Linked DNA regions of Elephas maximus indicus. The protein of the gene in region 1 purifies or fractionates together with the protein of each later gene. This does not show direct contact. Links are inferred from orthologs where the notes say so. Each region holds a gene or a part of one and is shown on either strand. Other genes may lie near its edges. The genes, in order: INAVA and CEP170.

Region 1 (7,994 bases):
CCCACAGTTGCAATGTGCTTATCTGTGAGGTGCCCAAGGGCCCTTTGCTCTGCTTCAGTCACTGCCCTCCTTGTACCTCAGCTTCCCTTTCCAGAAATTGAGGTATGCCAGTCCTCCCCCAAAGCAGGGCAAAAGGTTTATCGCCTATGGGGAATACCACCAGGGAACTGATAAACTGGCAGGAATGGGTCATTGCTCTCCCCCATACACTGAAATGGAAACTGAGAGCTGAGATTGCAGCTCCCAAATCGGGATTAGAAAACCTCAGGCAAGGCAGCAACCATGGGACTCTACATGGGGAGGCCCTGAGGACCAGAGGGCCAGGCTGTTCTTTTCTCTTTTTATCCCAGACATTTTCTCCCAGGAACATCAAAACCATCGCTTCCCCATTTTATTGTTGACAAGGTCTGTGGGGCACTAACCATAAGCCCAGGCCTGTCCCCTTCTCCACAGGAGGGCCACTGTGACCCCAGGTTCTAAGTCCCCAAACATGTGGGACCACAGCCCAAAATGGAACATGTTTCTCCAGAAAAAAAAAAAAAGCCCTCAGGTCTCCCACCCCTTTGACTCTTAAACAAACTGAAAACTGGAATCCAGCCTACTTCACAGTGGGGAAAGCAAGTCTGAGACTGCCCAAATCCAGCAGGCTGGAATTGGAGGCACCCTGTCCCTCAAGGTTTCATCCCACAACCTCTGTTCCTGCCACCTCCTGATTCTCCCCACCATGAACCCCACCTGCCAAGGTCTCAACCTAAGAGGCTGAGCCTCCCTGGGATGCCGGAATCTCAACATAGCTCTGGCATATTTCCGTCCCCACACCCCCCCAGTGCAAAGATAATGAAGTCTGCCCCCTTCAAGCATCATGGAAGAGCCCCAGTCTGTCCCCTTCCCTTTGGCAGCTCCCCCTTCCCACAGCACACCTTCGCATTCCTGCACACACCCTCTTTCCAAACAATGCTAGCTGGAGTTCTCCAGGCTGGCCACTGTTAGGGCCCCTCCTGTGGCAGAGAGCAGTGCTCAGGGTCTCAGCCAGCAGCCCTTCCCTTCCCCCAGCCCTCCACAACATGACAGTCCCTCCCCACCCCCCAGAGGTGCGGCACATTCTTTCAGTGTCACGCGGGGTGGGGGGGTCTTTCTGGGCATAAATGGCCCTTCCTCCACCTTGTCCACTCCCCAGCTCCTGGGGGGAGGAGGGGGAGGTGTGTGGAAGTTTCTGGAATTAGTGCATAACCTATTTTTAAATATATAAAATAAAATTCAGGGAACCACTGAAAGAGGCAATTATGTTGAAATACAGTTCTAAAAATAGAAAAGAGTGATGTATGTCTCTTTATTGACATTAAACAGGATCTAACAGTGGGTCTACTAACAACTGTAATGTTATAGAAGCAATAAGTTCAAACGAAATTTGGAGTATCTGCAAAGACTGCAATGTGATATGAAAATATCTGTGAATTCTATTAGTGGTAAAGTCACATACTGCCAGTGCTTCTGTGGTTCGTTGTGCAACGCTAAATTTCTGTTAAAAAGAAAAACAAAGATGTAGTTTTTTTCCATATGTATTTGCAAACCCTCTGATTTCTATCCACAGGTGCCTTGGTGCCCGTGGGCTGAGTTAAGAACCCCTGCCCACAGGTAATCCCTGGCTCCGTGCAGAGGAGAGAACTACAGATGGTCAACCTTACTGTTTGCATTGATCCTCTGGGATTCTCAATGACCCTTTGCCCCTCCAAATTCACACCCAGCATCTCTCAACACAGCAGAATCTGAATCTGAGATTTGGAATGGGACTGGCAAACCAGACCTCCCACCAAGGACCCCAGAGAGGCTCCATTGGATCTGGCCAAGTCATCCAACTCACAGTACCAGGGAGGTGGGCACTCCAAAGCTCACCTGGGGACTTGGGGCTCAAAGCCATACCCCCAGCCGGTCTAAGGGTCAGGGGACTAATGCCCCAGCCCCAAACATCACAGCATCATCACCAAGACCACCAGTTGGTGAAGAAGTGGTGTTTCCTTGCAAACCTTACAGTACTTGGAATCTGATCCAGAGCCTCCCCCAGGAAGAGGAAAAGCTGCATCTCTTTAGGGTTTTCATTTTCTAGGAAAAGTCCTGGATAAGGAAACTCTTCCACCGTTCTGTAGTCTAATTTTTTTTTTTTTCAAGTTCTTTCTTTAAGTCTTCTGACACACTAGACAGGAATACCAAAAATCCAAACCCGTTGCCGTCCAGTTGATTCCAATTCAGCGACCCTATAGGACTGAGTAGAATAGCTCCATACGGTTTTTCAAGGAGCGGCTGGTGGATTTGAACTGCCGGATTTTTGGTCAGCAGATGAACTCTTAACCAATGTGCCATATCCCCAATAAAAAACAAACAAACAAAAAATGCAAACCCTTTGCCTTTGAGTCCATTCCGACTCACAGCGACATCCCAATAGCATCCAGCAAAGAACTGTCTCTGGCACTGCCAAAATTTTACTTAATGAATTAGCGAATCAATGGTCACACTGCTGGATCCAACAGCGGAGGGCGGGGGGGCGGAGGGAGGGAGGGAGGGCGTTAAGGGAAATGTCCGGGGACCCTCCAGGCGCGGGTGGTGAAGGTGGTCCGGGAGGTGGTAGGTCAGTTTCTAACTGTTCTCTTTCTGGGCTCTCCTCCCTGGCCACAGGGAAAGGTGTTTGCCTCCAAGCGATGGTGGAGTTGGCTGGGTCAGAAAAACTCCACGCTAGCCTGGAATGCGCCCTGAAATCAGACCACCAGGCTTTCTTTAAAAAGCCCCTTTGTCCTGTCCACCCTGCTCCCCTCCCCCACGCGCCCTCCACGTCCAGGCCGGCCTGAGACTTTGCTCCTTTTGTTTGGCTGCGCTCTGGCTTCCCGGAACCTGGCCAGGGGATCCACAGGCATGGGAAAAGTTGAAGGAGAAAGGGTAAAGCGTTGGAAGTCTGCGTTTTTCATAGGCACTCAAAATTCCTACCACTTGGGTAAGATCACCCCATTTCCTGTAGGGTCCTCTCCACTACGGGTGAAGACCGTGGGTTCAGGGGCTTGATCTCCCTAGTTCACCGGCGCTGGGTCCCCCTAAGTTTTCCCCTTACCTGTCCCATGGAGCTCTGGCGCCGCCCAAGAGACCCAGCGGCCCCCGCTCCTGCTTCGCAGCTTCAAGACCTGTTCGTCCAGGCCATCTTCCCTCTCCCCGAGTATCCCCCCGATCTTCCCTCCCCGGAGGTATTTCATTTAACTTCGGCATTTGCAGCATCCCAAATGTTAAAGATCCCAAGACATCTGTCCCCTGGGGCATACCAAGAACCAGAGGAAAGAGGGGAAAGATAGAAGAAAGGATTCGAGATTCCGACCCAAGAGTCCCGACGGGACTGGATATTGAGTTAGTAAGGTGTTAGCAGGGTGAGTACGCCGTGGGGAGACCGACTTGAGGGAGCGGTTGTCCCCCTTCTCCCGCTTTCGAGCGCCGGGGTGGCCAGACACCCCCTGCGCTGCCAGTTTCCGCAGCCCGGGCGGGAGGAGGCTCCTCTCGCGGTCCGAGTGCCCCTTTCATCCGCGCGCTCCGGCCTGGCCGGGGGCAGTTTTCATTCCGGGAGACCCCCACGGTGAAAGAACGAAAGGAGCCGGGCCTGAGGGCGCCGCGCCCCTCCCCCGCAGCGCCCCTCCCCCGCAGCGCCCCTCCCTTCCACGACCCTTCCCTGGCCGTGCGCCGCAGTGGGCTGCCGAGCCGGGCGGGCTGGTGGCGCAGGGATCGCCTCCCCCTCGTCTGGCCGCAGGCTGTTCCTCTTCCTGGGGGCTGGCGGGCTGTCGGAAGGAGAGACAGCCCACTCCTGGTGAGCGCCTCCTACTGCTTCCTGCGAGCCAGCGTATCTCCGTCCGTCCATTCATTCATTCAGTCATTCAGTCACTCACACGTCCCTATTTTCATTTGTTCAATAAACACCGAGCACTTACTAGGGCCAAGCCCCGTCCCTGGAGGATGCCCCAATCTAGGCAAGTAATCAAGTAGCAACAGTATCGGTGACACGAAGGCTAGCAGCCAGAACAGGAAGAGGCAAAGCTGACCCAGGCTGAGGGACCGCCAAGGCCAGGAGGAGGCAGTGCCAGAGCTATCTGGGAGGTATGAGAAGGAACTTAAGGCCGCGGTGACCGATGTACAACAACACGGTGGCAAAAGAACAGGCAGGTTCTAGGAGCGGTGGGGAACTTAGGGTGAGGATGAGGAGGGAAGCGGGTGGAGGAGCTGAGACAAATGAGGCTCAACAGGCGGACAGGGGCTCATCAGAAAGCAGGGAGGCTCTGTGTGGTTGTCCAGGTTGTGCATCAGACCAAGGGAGAGGGGCGACAGAACCGAAAGCTCCCCCATGCTCCACCCACCAAGCTGTGTTCTTTGGCCTGAGCTGTGTCCACCAAGGGGGCAAAAAAATAACGGCTGCCAGCAAGTGAATTCTAGCTCATGGCGACCTCATGTGTTATAGAGTAGAACTGCTCCATAGGGCTTTCTTGGTTCACCCAAGCAGATCACCAGGCCTTTCTTCCTGGGCCCCCTGGGTGGGTTTGAACCACCAGCCTTTAGGTTAGTAGACAGCACAAGCCATTTGTGCCACCCAGGGACCTTTGTCTACCTAGAGTGAGTGCCTTTTTCTAATTGGTGCTAAGGCGCTACCTGAGCCTTGTTGGCTAGCTAAGGGCTTAAGATTTTATTTTGCAATGGAAGCCTAGCTACTCAAGAATGCTGATCGGAGAGATAACCTGGGCAGATTCACCTTTAGACGGTCACTCTGGTGTTGTATGTATGAGTGACTGGGTGGGGAGGGTTTGGAGACAGGGAAACCAGGGAGCTGGCAGTAATCCAGGTCAGGATTGTCAGGGCCTGAACTGATGTTGTGGCAGTGGGGTAGTGGGGGTTTGGGGGGAGATGAGTCAAACGCTGTTCAGGAGGTAGACCTGGCCTGACTCTGTAAGTGATTGCTTAAGAGAAGGGTGATGAGGAAGAGGGGAGATTTCAGACAACCTCCAGGCTTCTGGTTTGGGAGTTCAGCTTAAGATGTGTTCACTTTAGGGCATTAATGGGAATATCCAGCGAGCAGTCTGGTGGGGGCTTTAACGCACCTAGATGGTTGGAGAAAGGGCTTGGGAGTCATCAGAGAGTTGCAGCCCTGGGCTTGGATGAGATCACTCAGGAAGAATGTGTAAAATGGGAGAAGGAACAAGAGGAGAACTTTGGGGACATTTAAGGGATGGAACAGAAGACAAAGTGCCTTAAACGGTATCATTATTATGACTCGTGTGATGGAGTAATTGATTAAAATATTGATCTGTATTTTTTCTCCCATGGAGTCCCTGGGTGGCAAAAATTATTAAGTACTCAACTACTAGTCAAAAGGTTGGCAGTTCAAACCTACCCAGAGGCCCCTCAGAAGACAGGCCTGGTGATCTGCTTCTAAAAGGTCACAGCCTTGAAAATCTATGGAGCAGTTCTACTCTACACACATGGGGTTGCTATGAGTCAGAAGCGACTGAACAGCAACTAACGACAACAACATCCCTTCCTCCATGCCTCCCAGCCCTCCCCCCGTGGATACCCTCGCTCTGGGTGGGCGGCAGAAGCTTCCTGAAGGTGCCAGTCCAGAGCCCACCGAGAGGATGCCACGTATCCTGCTGGGCAAGGGCACGGGTGTGGCCTATGAAGGCCAGGAGGCAGAGAGGAGATGACCTGGGCTAACCTGGGAAGGAGAAAGACAACGGTCAGTGCCCTGAGCAGGAGGGACCCCAAGCACCACTCCACAGCAGGAAGGTGGCAAGGCGGGGATGAGAGTTGAGTCCCTGGGCCCCAGGCTTCCAGCCTTGACAGATTCCTGCATCTGAAATGTGTCCAGGAGGCAGGAGCCCCAGACTATAAGAGGTCCCTGGGCAAGGAGGTTGTCGACACACACCCTGCTTCCTGGACTATCCCTAAGCCATCAGGATTCTGCAGGAGGAAACAGAGTTTCTGGCTCCGCCCAGCAGCCTGAGGACCCATGACAAAATCAAGTTGATATAAAGGACGTAAAGTGACTCCTATGTCTTGTAAATCTGACTTTGTGGGCTGAGATTTGTAGCAATACTGTTACCTTCATTTACAGATGAGAAAACTGAGACACAGAGAAGCTAAATAACCAGTTTAGAGCCACACAGCTAGTAAGTGACTGATCTGGGATTTGAAGACAATTCTTTCTGATTCTGCAGCCTGTGAAAAACTTCAAGTATTTAAGAAGACCAGAGAGGTAAGGTAAAGAAGTAAGTATGTCAGGTAAATTGGTATTCCAGCAGTGTGCTATTTAGTTTGCAACATTTCAACTCATACTTGGCCTTGGTGTATACAGACAAGGGGAGAGGGTGAGCACAAAGGGGCAGGATGGGGACCTCAGGCAAATTAGAAAACTCAGGCTCTGTCTTAAGGGGGTCAGTCACTACAAATGCTGTCACAAGAAAAAGTTTCTGTTTTAAAAACAAAAGCTGGAAATCCAAATTTTTATGTGGAAATCACCTGAGTTGTATATTTGATTTTTTTTTTTTAATTCAAAGGAGTCAAACAACATGTGTCTACATCCCTCCAGCTGCAGTTTATGTCTTGCTCCACATCTCACAGCCTCTTGAAGGAGCTCAGAGCCTGGAACTTCGGGCAGGGAACCGGGGGCCTCTAGGAAGCTGGGACTTGAGAAGCAGGGGTCTTGGAATAGAAGCCAGAGCCCTCCCTGGGAACTTCCTGGCTCAGCTCATGGTTGGGAAGAAGAAGGTGCAAGTTGCTGGGAGAGGCCACTGCACCCCTTCCCACCCCGCAGGGTTGGTTCTCTCCTCCTCTCACTTTGGCTGAGAAGCAGGGTTTCTCCTTTTCCTGGAAGTGGCAGAGGGGTATGGGAAGAATTTTATGAGTTCTGCATCATGGAGAAGAAGGGGACCAGCCCTCTGGAGCTCCTGGAGCTTTGTGGTAGCTGGGTAGCTGTGTGTCTGTACCGGCACCTCCCACATGGCTGTAGAAGGGGGCTCACCCCAGACCTCTCCTGCCTGTTAGGCTCTGTCCTGGCCCTGCCGAGTGCCATATCCGCAGGCCCTCAGGTCCAGCTGAAGGCAGAACTCACTCTCCCCACTCTCCCTTCCCTTCCCCCTCACTCCCTGGACCGGATGAGCAGAGGGGGGTGATGCTCTGTGGCGCAGACAGTGCCCTGTCGGTGCCCTCGGCTAGGCGAGAAATGACTCGGCCTGCGACCCTACTTCCTCCCCTGACCGCATCCTGCAGCTCACAGCTGGGGGCAGGTGCTGGAGGGGCCACTGCCTGGTCGGCCTATGTCTCTGTCTCTGTCAACCAGAACCCTCTTGGCTGGGCGCAGGATGGGCTTCCAGCAGGTGAGCAGTGATGCGAGATGCATACACTCGACTTAAGGGGCCAAGGGTGGGGATGAGGTGGGGTGGGAGGGTGGAAGGGTGGGAGGGTGGAAGGGTGGGAGGGGTGGGTGGGAAGACACTAAGCAGCCTCCATGGGAGGGAGCCCAAGAAACTGGGATCATGGACACTGGGTCTGAATTGCTGCTTGGAGCACATGGAAGGCAACGGAAGACCCCCACACTGTGGCTCAGTCCCCTGGGTAAGATAAGATGAGAAAGGAACCCACTCCCCAAGACACACCCAGCATCCTTTTGGCAAGCAATTCTTGTTTCTAAATTCTATGAGGTCCTCTTCCAGAGTGTTAGATCTTCCTCTCATGCTTCTCTTTCATTTTTCCTTGGCTTTCTGCCTTCCCTTCTCCCCCTTCCTCCTCAGGGCATCTATCTTGGTCGCATGAAATTATAAGATTTCAGGGGCCACAGGGCTGTGCCCTGAGCGCTGCCTGTCACACATGGAGATGCTTTCCTCCCCTCGGTCTACTTGCACCAATTGTAGCTTGTTCTCCCCGGAGGGACCAGCAGGGGGCGTCAGTTGCTAGCAGACTGCTTTTCCCTGTGGGCCAACGAT
Region 2 (7,850 bases), on another chromosome or scaffold:
GAAGAAAATGATAAATCACAAATCACTAAACACAGAATTTTTAAATACACTGATATTTGCATTAACAAGTATGCAGAATGTATGCTAATGTCTACAGTGCAATTGAGAGAAAACATGCAGATTTACTTATTTTCACACACAATTTTAAAACACTGAAATTTATCAGTAAAATATATTTAAAGTCTAATTTAATTGTGCATATGGGATTTAATTACAGACTACTTTTTTAAAACTAAGTCGAAATTTAAATGAAGTATTACTAAATTCTAAAGAAAATATGTTTATAAAAATCCAATGTGGGAATTAAAGGATAAAAATTATGAGGCAACATAAAAGGATTAATGGCAAAATCAACTCAATAAAAAAGCTTAAAATTTTGAAAAACAGTCCAACATGAATTTTTTCACAGTAGGTAACTTCTAACTTAAGTTAAAAATATTATAATCCATTAATCAAAGAAAAATGAACTTAATAGGTTTTTCTTATGTGACAGTTTTAGTTTTAACACAGTTTGCAGAACTGATCATACTATAAAATGCTATTGAATACCAAGAAATATATTAAAACATGGTCGCTAATTCCAACAGTCTCTGTCTTTATGAAAAACCGATGTTAAGGCATCTTTCCTTATACCAATAAGTTACTTTAAAAAACTAAGTTCCATTTCAGCAGAATTGCTACTTTCATCACAAGGAAAAAGGACTAGATTAATACAACTGGAATACCAATGAACTTGATTCTTAAGAAACAGTCGAAAAAGCATGTAGAGAAGGTATCCATAAATCTTCACAGCGTAGGAGTACTAGGGTTAGAAGACAAGGCACACAGGAAACAGCACTCTGCAGAACAGATCGTGGTTTTATCCGGCTCTGCCTTCCATTAGCAGTTTGGCTTGGAGACAAGTCAGTTAACTTTCAGACTTTTAGTGTTTCCCTCAGTCAAGTGAAGGAACCCTGGTGATGCAGTGGCGAAGCACTAAGCTGCTAAACTAGAGGTTGGCCATTGAAACCCACCAGCTACACTGTGGGAGAAATATGTGGCAGTCTGCTTCCGTAAAGATTTACAGGCTTGGAAATCCTATGGGGCACTTCTACTCTGTCCTACAGGGTCCTTACGAGTGGGAATCCATTCCACAGCAGTGGGGTTTTTTTCTTTTTTTTCTGTCAAGTGCACTCAGACTCTTCTGTTTTAAAATACCAAAATTCTACAGTATCTACAAAGTTGGAAAGAACAAGCAGCAGCCCTGGGGAACATAAAATAATGGCAGAAAAAACAAAATTCTTGTAACCTGCCATTCACCAATATAATATTTCCAGAGCTGAACTCTGAAATCTTTGAAGCATGCCTGTAACTTGGGTTCTATCAGTGAAGATCTAGATACCGTATTCAGAATGTAACTCTCTCCCACAATCTTACATTTTTCCTCCATCTGCTCCTCCCCACCCTGCTTCATTCTCTCTTCTGCTAATCTTAAGTAGAAACGCCCGCAAACGTTGTAAGCTTAACGATCAAATCATCTTAAAAGATTTTTTCCCAATCACATATTATCTGCTTCACTATAATTCCTCCCAAATGGGCGAAATTTCATTAAGAGAATGAAAAATGTTAACAAACGACTTCAGAAAGAGGAAATATACCAGGCCTCTTTTTTTGTTTGTTTGGCTTTGTTTTGAGTTCTTAAAAAAATGTAACGGAAAGATGTGTCCAAATCTATTCTCTTAGGAATACGAATACGTTACCCACCCAATGAAAAAACAATTCTGCTGGTTCATTTCCCTGCTACAAACAGCTGCATTGTCAGTCCCTTCGTAGCCCGCTCTTCATCTAGTAATTTCATATTGATCACCTTGGCAGCGTTTGGGCTCCAGCAGCAGGCACAGTCCCTGCTATTCAGGACCTTACATTCTTCAAATAAAACTCAACTAAACACCCAAAGCAGATTCTACGACCTAGACTACACTTCTTCCCGCCCTGTGTTAGGCAGATATTTATTTATTTTTTTCCCCTTGCATAAAACGAAGGGGACCATACCAAACCCTACACTTGGATTTCAGGACAATGAAACCGACAGGAAGCCACTCTCTCCTCCCCCGGGTTTACTATGGAGCTGGAGCCTACGCGGTTGACATCGCCAGGCGGGGTGCGTGACACCACGTCTTCCACGCCCTCCAACTGCGTCCAAAAGGGCTCCTCGCTCGACCTCCCCCAACCGTCCCACACCCCAAAACCGACCACACGAAAAGGACCGGCTCTGTCCGCTGCCCCAGCAGGGCTGCGGATCTGGGAAAAACCCCCTCCCCGCGCCAGCGCAGCCATTCCCTCGGGCCCTGCGTCCGCACCCTCCACAAACCGCTGCTGCTACGGGGGTGGGGGTGGGGGTCGGGGGTCGGGGGTGCACCGCACAAAGCCGGCGGGGGCGCTGGAAACGACTCTAGACGTTTAGGGGAAGAGAGGCAGTGGCCCGGAGAAGGCCGGGCTGGCGGCACGACAGGGGGACCGGTGCGGGGGACCCGGGGTGGCGGACCCGGGGTGGGGGACCCGGGGTGGGGGATGGGAGGGGCGGGGGACCCGGGGCGGGGGATGGGAGGGGCGGCCCCGCCGAGCCCCTGAGGCGGGCGCGGGGCGGGGTGGCGGCGCCGCGCGGAGCATCCGGGAAGCGCCCCCTTCGCCTCCCGGCCCCGCACCCCGAGCCCATGCCGCAAACCCGAGGCTCTCCCAGGAAGAGGAGGTGGAAAAGCGGCGGCGGCGGCGACATCAGCAGCGCCGAGCCAGAGCAGCCGAGCGCATCACTTACCCCTGACTGTGGCGAGAGGGACCGGACGGTGGAGGCGGGGCGCGTCGCGTCCCGTGAGTCTTTCGCACGCCGTCCTCCTCCCACCCCGTCGTCGTTGTCGCTGTCGCTGCTGTCGAGCTCCGGGCCCCTCAGCTCCGCTGGGCAATAACGTTATTCCACACACGCCCCACACATAGCGGTAACGGCAAAGAGCGACCGGCTAGTGCGCAGGCGCCTTGGGAAAGGGCGAGGAGCCGAGCCCTATCCCCTCCTCCTGCCCTGTCCCAACAATCCCTTACTGCGCAGGCGCCAAGACAGACAATGAAAAGGGGCTGTGCGGAGGGTCTCACCCACACGCTATTTCAGCTGCCCACTGCGCAGGCGTGTCCCAAGAACATCTCGAACAATGAACACGACCCAGGCATTCGCGGAACCGCAACCAACAAGGACTACAGTTCCCAGCGAGCAGTGCGCTAACGCCAACGGGAGGTCGGGTCGCCGGGCAAGCTAGGATTTGTAGTGTCGGCCGCCTTCACAAGCTAGACTGTCTAGGCTGTTCGGAGATATAGAGCTTCTTTTTCTTGAGAATTGATTTGGCCTTTGTGACAAATTTCAAGGATGAAAAGATTCAGAGCTTGTCATTTGAGTCCTTCAGAAGCCTTAGAGGTCAGCCGCGTATTAGAACATTTCGAAGACTCCCAAGGCCGACCGTGAAATCTTTCCGTCAGTTAGGTGGTCCAGACAGAAGGATGGCATGAAGGCCGAGCTATAGGAAAAGGGCGGGGCCTCCAAGCTGTTTCTTGGCAACCGGCTCTGGCAACCGAACCGCCGAAGTTGCTCCTGGAGCGCGGTGTTCTCTGGGAATTGTAGTGTAGTTGGAAGGGCTTAGTATCTCGAGGCTGGAGGTCCTGAGCCTGTGGACTACCACTCCCGACGTCCACCATTAGGGCCAGTGGGTGGGAAGAGCCCCCACGAGCTCCGTCCCGGGTTCCAAGCTCCCCAGTGACAGCAGCTGCAGGAAGCAGGCGGGCCCTCCCCAGGCGGTAGGCCTGTTCTCTGAGCGGAGCCCTCTGGACACGTCCCACTTAACTCCCATCTTGGGCCCCGGGTCCGGGCATGGCGAAGTCCCCAGGGAACTCTGCCGTAGAGGAGATTCTAGGGCAATATCAACGGAGCCTCCGGGGTGAGTTGCTCCGAACCTCTGTGCCCCAGCCCCTTGGTACCCAGGGCCTCGTGGACGGGAACTGACCAGATGCGTTTCCTGACACCTTGGTTAAGCCCCAGCCTGGCTGTATAGGAAGGAGATGGGCGTTGCTCTAATCTTTAAGGAAGGATGAAATCGTATGAGTTTGTTTGACGGTTGAGCGGCGTTGCTTCCCTTGATTCCACCCGAACCAACTCTCTGATCCTGATTTAGGCATCTTTCTCAACCAGTGCCAGCAGAAACTTGTGGACAGCTCTATGTCACTTTTGCCCAGTTCTCATACTTGGCTCTTTAATCCAATTAGTTTCTGATTCACACTTTTTACACATTCAAATTCTGATTTAGTAAGATGAAAGTGATTTATTGGATGGGGGAAAAACAATAATAATGGTTTTAATCGAAATAGCTTCTATTTAGTGGTCTAGGCTATTTACATACATTAGCTCATTTAAAACTTACAGTAACTTTATGATTATTCCTATTTTACACATGGGAAAATCGAGGCTCAGAGAGGTTTAATTACACGCTAAAGGCCACACGGCTGGTTACTGGCAAAGCCAGAGATTGAATTCAGTCCTGTCTTCCTTCAAAGCCTGTCCTTTTGTTTGTTTGTTTTAATCATGTCACAATCACTGTTACTGCAACCTTATTCATTTAATTCAGATTATTTTAGTACAGTTTCCCATAAGTGAGTATCTATGGAAGTGATGGTCATATTTGTAGTAGATGGCTCTGCCATCTTGGACAACTTATATAACCCTAGAAAGCTCAGTTTTGTTTTTTTAAAGTAGAGGTTGATGTATTGTCTACAGGGTTAAATGTGAGGAGCAAACAAAATAATCCATGTAAAGCAGAAATTTTCCTACTTGTTTTTCCATGGTACCCCAGGGTAAGAACTACATTTTACGTGGGACGTACACATGGGGCAAATATAACAAATATCGCTAAAGAAAACTTATTCTATTACGTGTAATAGACGCTATTTTCCATTATGTTTCATTTGCATAACCCACAGTTGGAGAAAAAAAATTATTTAAACTATTTAGAACATTGACTCGTTTGGTAAATGTTCACTGCCTACTGTGTTTACACATGCTAGGTGCTGGGGACACAGTAAGGAACAAGCAAGGTCCCTTCCCCAATGGAGTCTCTGGAATAGTGGGAGATAAAGATGATAAAATAATTACAGATTATTATAATAGAAAATAAGGGTAAGAATCAGTGCTTGGCACTTAAGAAACAATCATTAAATGTTAGCTGCTATTTATACTTGGTCCTGCAACAAAGTGAAGATTTTTCTAGGAGATTACAAAGTTTATCTTCTAGTAACTCTAGACTTTATAAAGGTTATTTATTGTTTACAGCTGTCAACAATGTTACAACCTGTCGACATTCTCAATATTCAACCTAGAGGAGTAAAAGAATCAGTCTAATGATGTTTCAAGCATTGTTAGATATTTATATGATCACTTAAAACTTTTCGTTTGAAAGCAAGAAAAGTACTGCGCTGAATGAATGGTTCTGCTTAGTTTTTGAGGTTGGTAACATTTTTTGGCCTCCATAAAAGTTTCTCCTAATGCTTTTGACGTAATTTTGAGCCTTTATCCAAGCATTGGAAACTGTTTAATATTAGACATTTTGATACAGTAAAAGAGTTAATTGTAAATTAATGTTGCAGTAATATGCTACAGTGGTACTGCTTTCAGTAATCAAAGAGTAAATAATTTTCTTTTGAATGTAACAAAATTTAAAGTCATTTCATTTAATGTGATAACAAAATACTGAAAACATATAGCCAGAAGGCAAAGAATATAGTAAAACAGTGTTTAAATCCTACTTTTAACAGTGTATCAATAAACGGGACCTGAATTTATTGTGGGTTTTTAGGATTTATTTTATTATTTATTTAGTAGCATTTTTTAATTTTTATTTGTTTATAGCACAGCTTCTGTAAGGAAAGAAAACATAACTGACTCTAAACGTACCACTCATTTAAAGAGTTACTCATTGCCTTTGAGCCTGTTCCTACTCATAGTAACCCCACATGGCAGAGCAGAGCTGTTCCATAGGCCTTTCTTGGCTGTAACCATTATAGAAGCAGGTCACCAGGCCTTTCTTCTGCAGTGCCCCTGGGTGGGTTCGAACCATGAAAAGATAATGCCCTTTAAGACAGAAATTTGTATTCCCATATAAAGTATGTTAGAGTTATTTTATATGTGGCACTTCATTATTTTGAGTGTGCCTAATAATTTAAGAATTATGTTAGTATGCAATCAGATAAATTGCGGCTCGAAATTCGTTTGTCTTGTATTGCTTTTGTTGATTTATTTGGTTTTGTATATTCACCACTGTTTTCCCAAAATGCCTTGCCTAGTTCATGCTCAAAGGAAGGCTAATAAATATTCTTGGTCTTCCGTGACAATTATTTCTCTTTTATTAAATAACTGTACATGTCAACATTACTGATACTCCTTCATTTATGTTCAGCTAGGAAATAAAAGGGACCCCTGGGTGCCTCAGTGGTAAGAGCTTGGCTGCTAACCAGGAAGTCAGCACTTCAAATGCACCAGCCTCTCCTTGGAAACCCTGTGGGGCAGTCCTGCTCTGTCCTTTAGGGTCACTATGAGTCAGAATGGACGCGATGGCAATGGGTTTGATTTCCATTTTTTGATTAGGAAGTAAAAATGCTAAATGCTTTCGCAGTTTTCCATGATAGTTCTTCCATTTTTATAGATTTTCTTAATTACTTTAAATATAATTTTTTGTACTATTATAGTATTTTAAGATTTTAAAGCTCTGACGTGAAAAGCAGAGTCAAAGTTTACTTTTTTGCTTTCAAAACTTAAGTGGAATTTTTCCTCTCCTTGATTCTGACTGTCCTGGAACAACCATGGAAGCAGCATGCCCATCTGCAGATGCCATTTTCACCTCTCATCCTTTCCTTTAAACTTTTAAATGCAGTCCTTGTTTGACCCCTCAGAGAATAGCTCCTGGTTTGAGTTGTTTGTGGCCTCTCAGCAAGAAATTGGAGAGGTTCAGTGATTCTTCTTTGATATGAGAATTCTAGCAGAAAAACTTAGTTACCTCACAGTTCTGTAATATTGTACCGACATAATAAGTTATCTCAAAGTTTCCAGTGTGATTTAAAAAGAAAAAAAGTGGGCATATCCCAGGTGTTAATCTAGAGTTGGAAGTGATTTGGGAGGTCTCCTGGCAGTATATTTAGGTGTCGTTCACTCTTATCTTCAATTATAAGTAGTTATAATTCAAGGTACACAGAGTGGCTGAGAACTATATTAGTAACTGGGAAGGATAACAAATGCCCCTCCTCTAATTTAAATTCAATGCACCATTATATAAAGCTATGAGGTTTAAAATAAACTACTTTGGGGCCAAGAAGGGGTCAGAAAAGCAAGAATAACAGGCAATCCAGGATCTGGTTTTAAGTTCTGTAAACTTGAGTGTAGGAATATATTGGACTAGCTAGGAAGAGTCTGCCTTAGTCTGGAAGCTCAGCTGAAACCTGTGTTCCATGGATGACCCTGCTGCTATCTGAATACTGGTGGCATAGCTTCGAGCATCGCAGCAACACGCTAGCCCCCACAGTACAACAAACTGACAGGCACGTGGGAGCTAGGAAGAAGGACCCCGCAGTCTACTTCAGAAAAGCATTAGCCAGTGAAAACCTTATGAATAGCAGCGGAACATTATCTGATATAGTGCTGGAAGATGAGCCCCCCAGGTTGGAAGGTACTCAGAAGATGACTGGGGAAGAGCTGCCTCCTCAAAGTGGAGTAGACCTTAATGATGTGGATGGAGTAAAGCTTTCAGGACCTCCATTTGCTGATGTGGCATGACTCAAAGTGGGAAGAA

Evidence for each region.
Region 2: the proteins of INAVA (region 1) and CEP170 purify together in Homo sapiens (co-immunoprecipitation; 3 studies listed by BioGRID and IntAct, counting the BioPlex papers as one, with this or other methods). This does not show direct contact. The link is inferred for Elephas maximus indicus from reciprocal best matches to the Homo sapiens genes INAVA and CEP170.

The regions. Positions count from the first base shown.
Region 1 is NC_064836.1:9,348,910-9,356,903, reverse strand, and holds the start of INAVA (innate immunity activator protein), read right to left. Parts: upstream 3,342-7,994; 5' UTR 3,301-3,341; coding exon 3,098-3,300; intron 1-3,097. UniProt on the Homo sapiens protein: Expressed in peripheral macrophages and intestinal myeloid-derived cells, is required for optimal PRR (pattern recognition receptor)-induced signaling, cytokine secretion, and bacterial clearance.
Region 2 is NC_064842.1:20,966,633-20,974,482, reverse strand, and holds the start of CEP170 (centrosomal protein of 170 kDa), read right to left. Parts: upstream 3,213-7,850; 5' UTR 2,795-3,212; intron 1-2,794. Other genes in the region: SDCCAG8 (serologically defined colon cancer antigen 8), read left to right, coding at 3,890-3,956.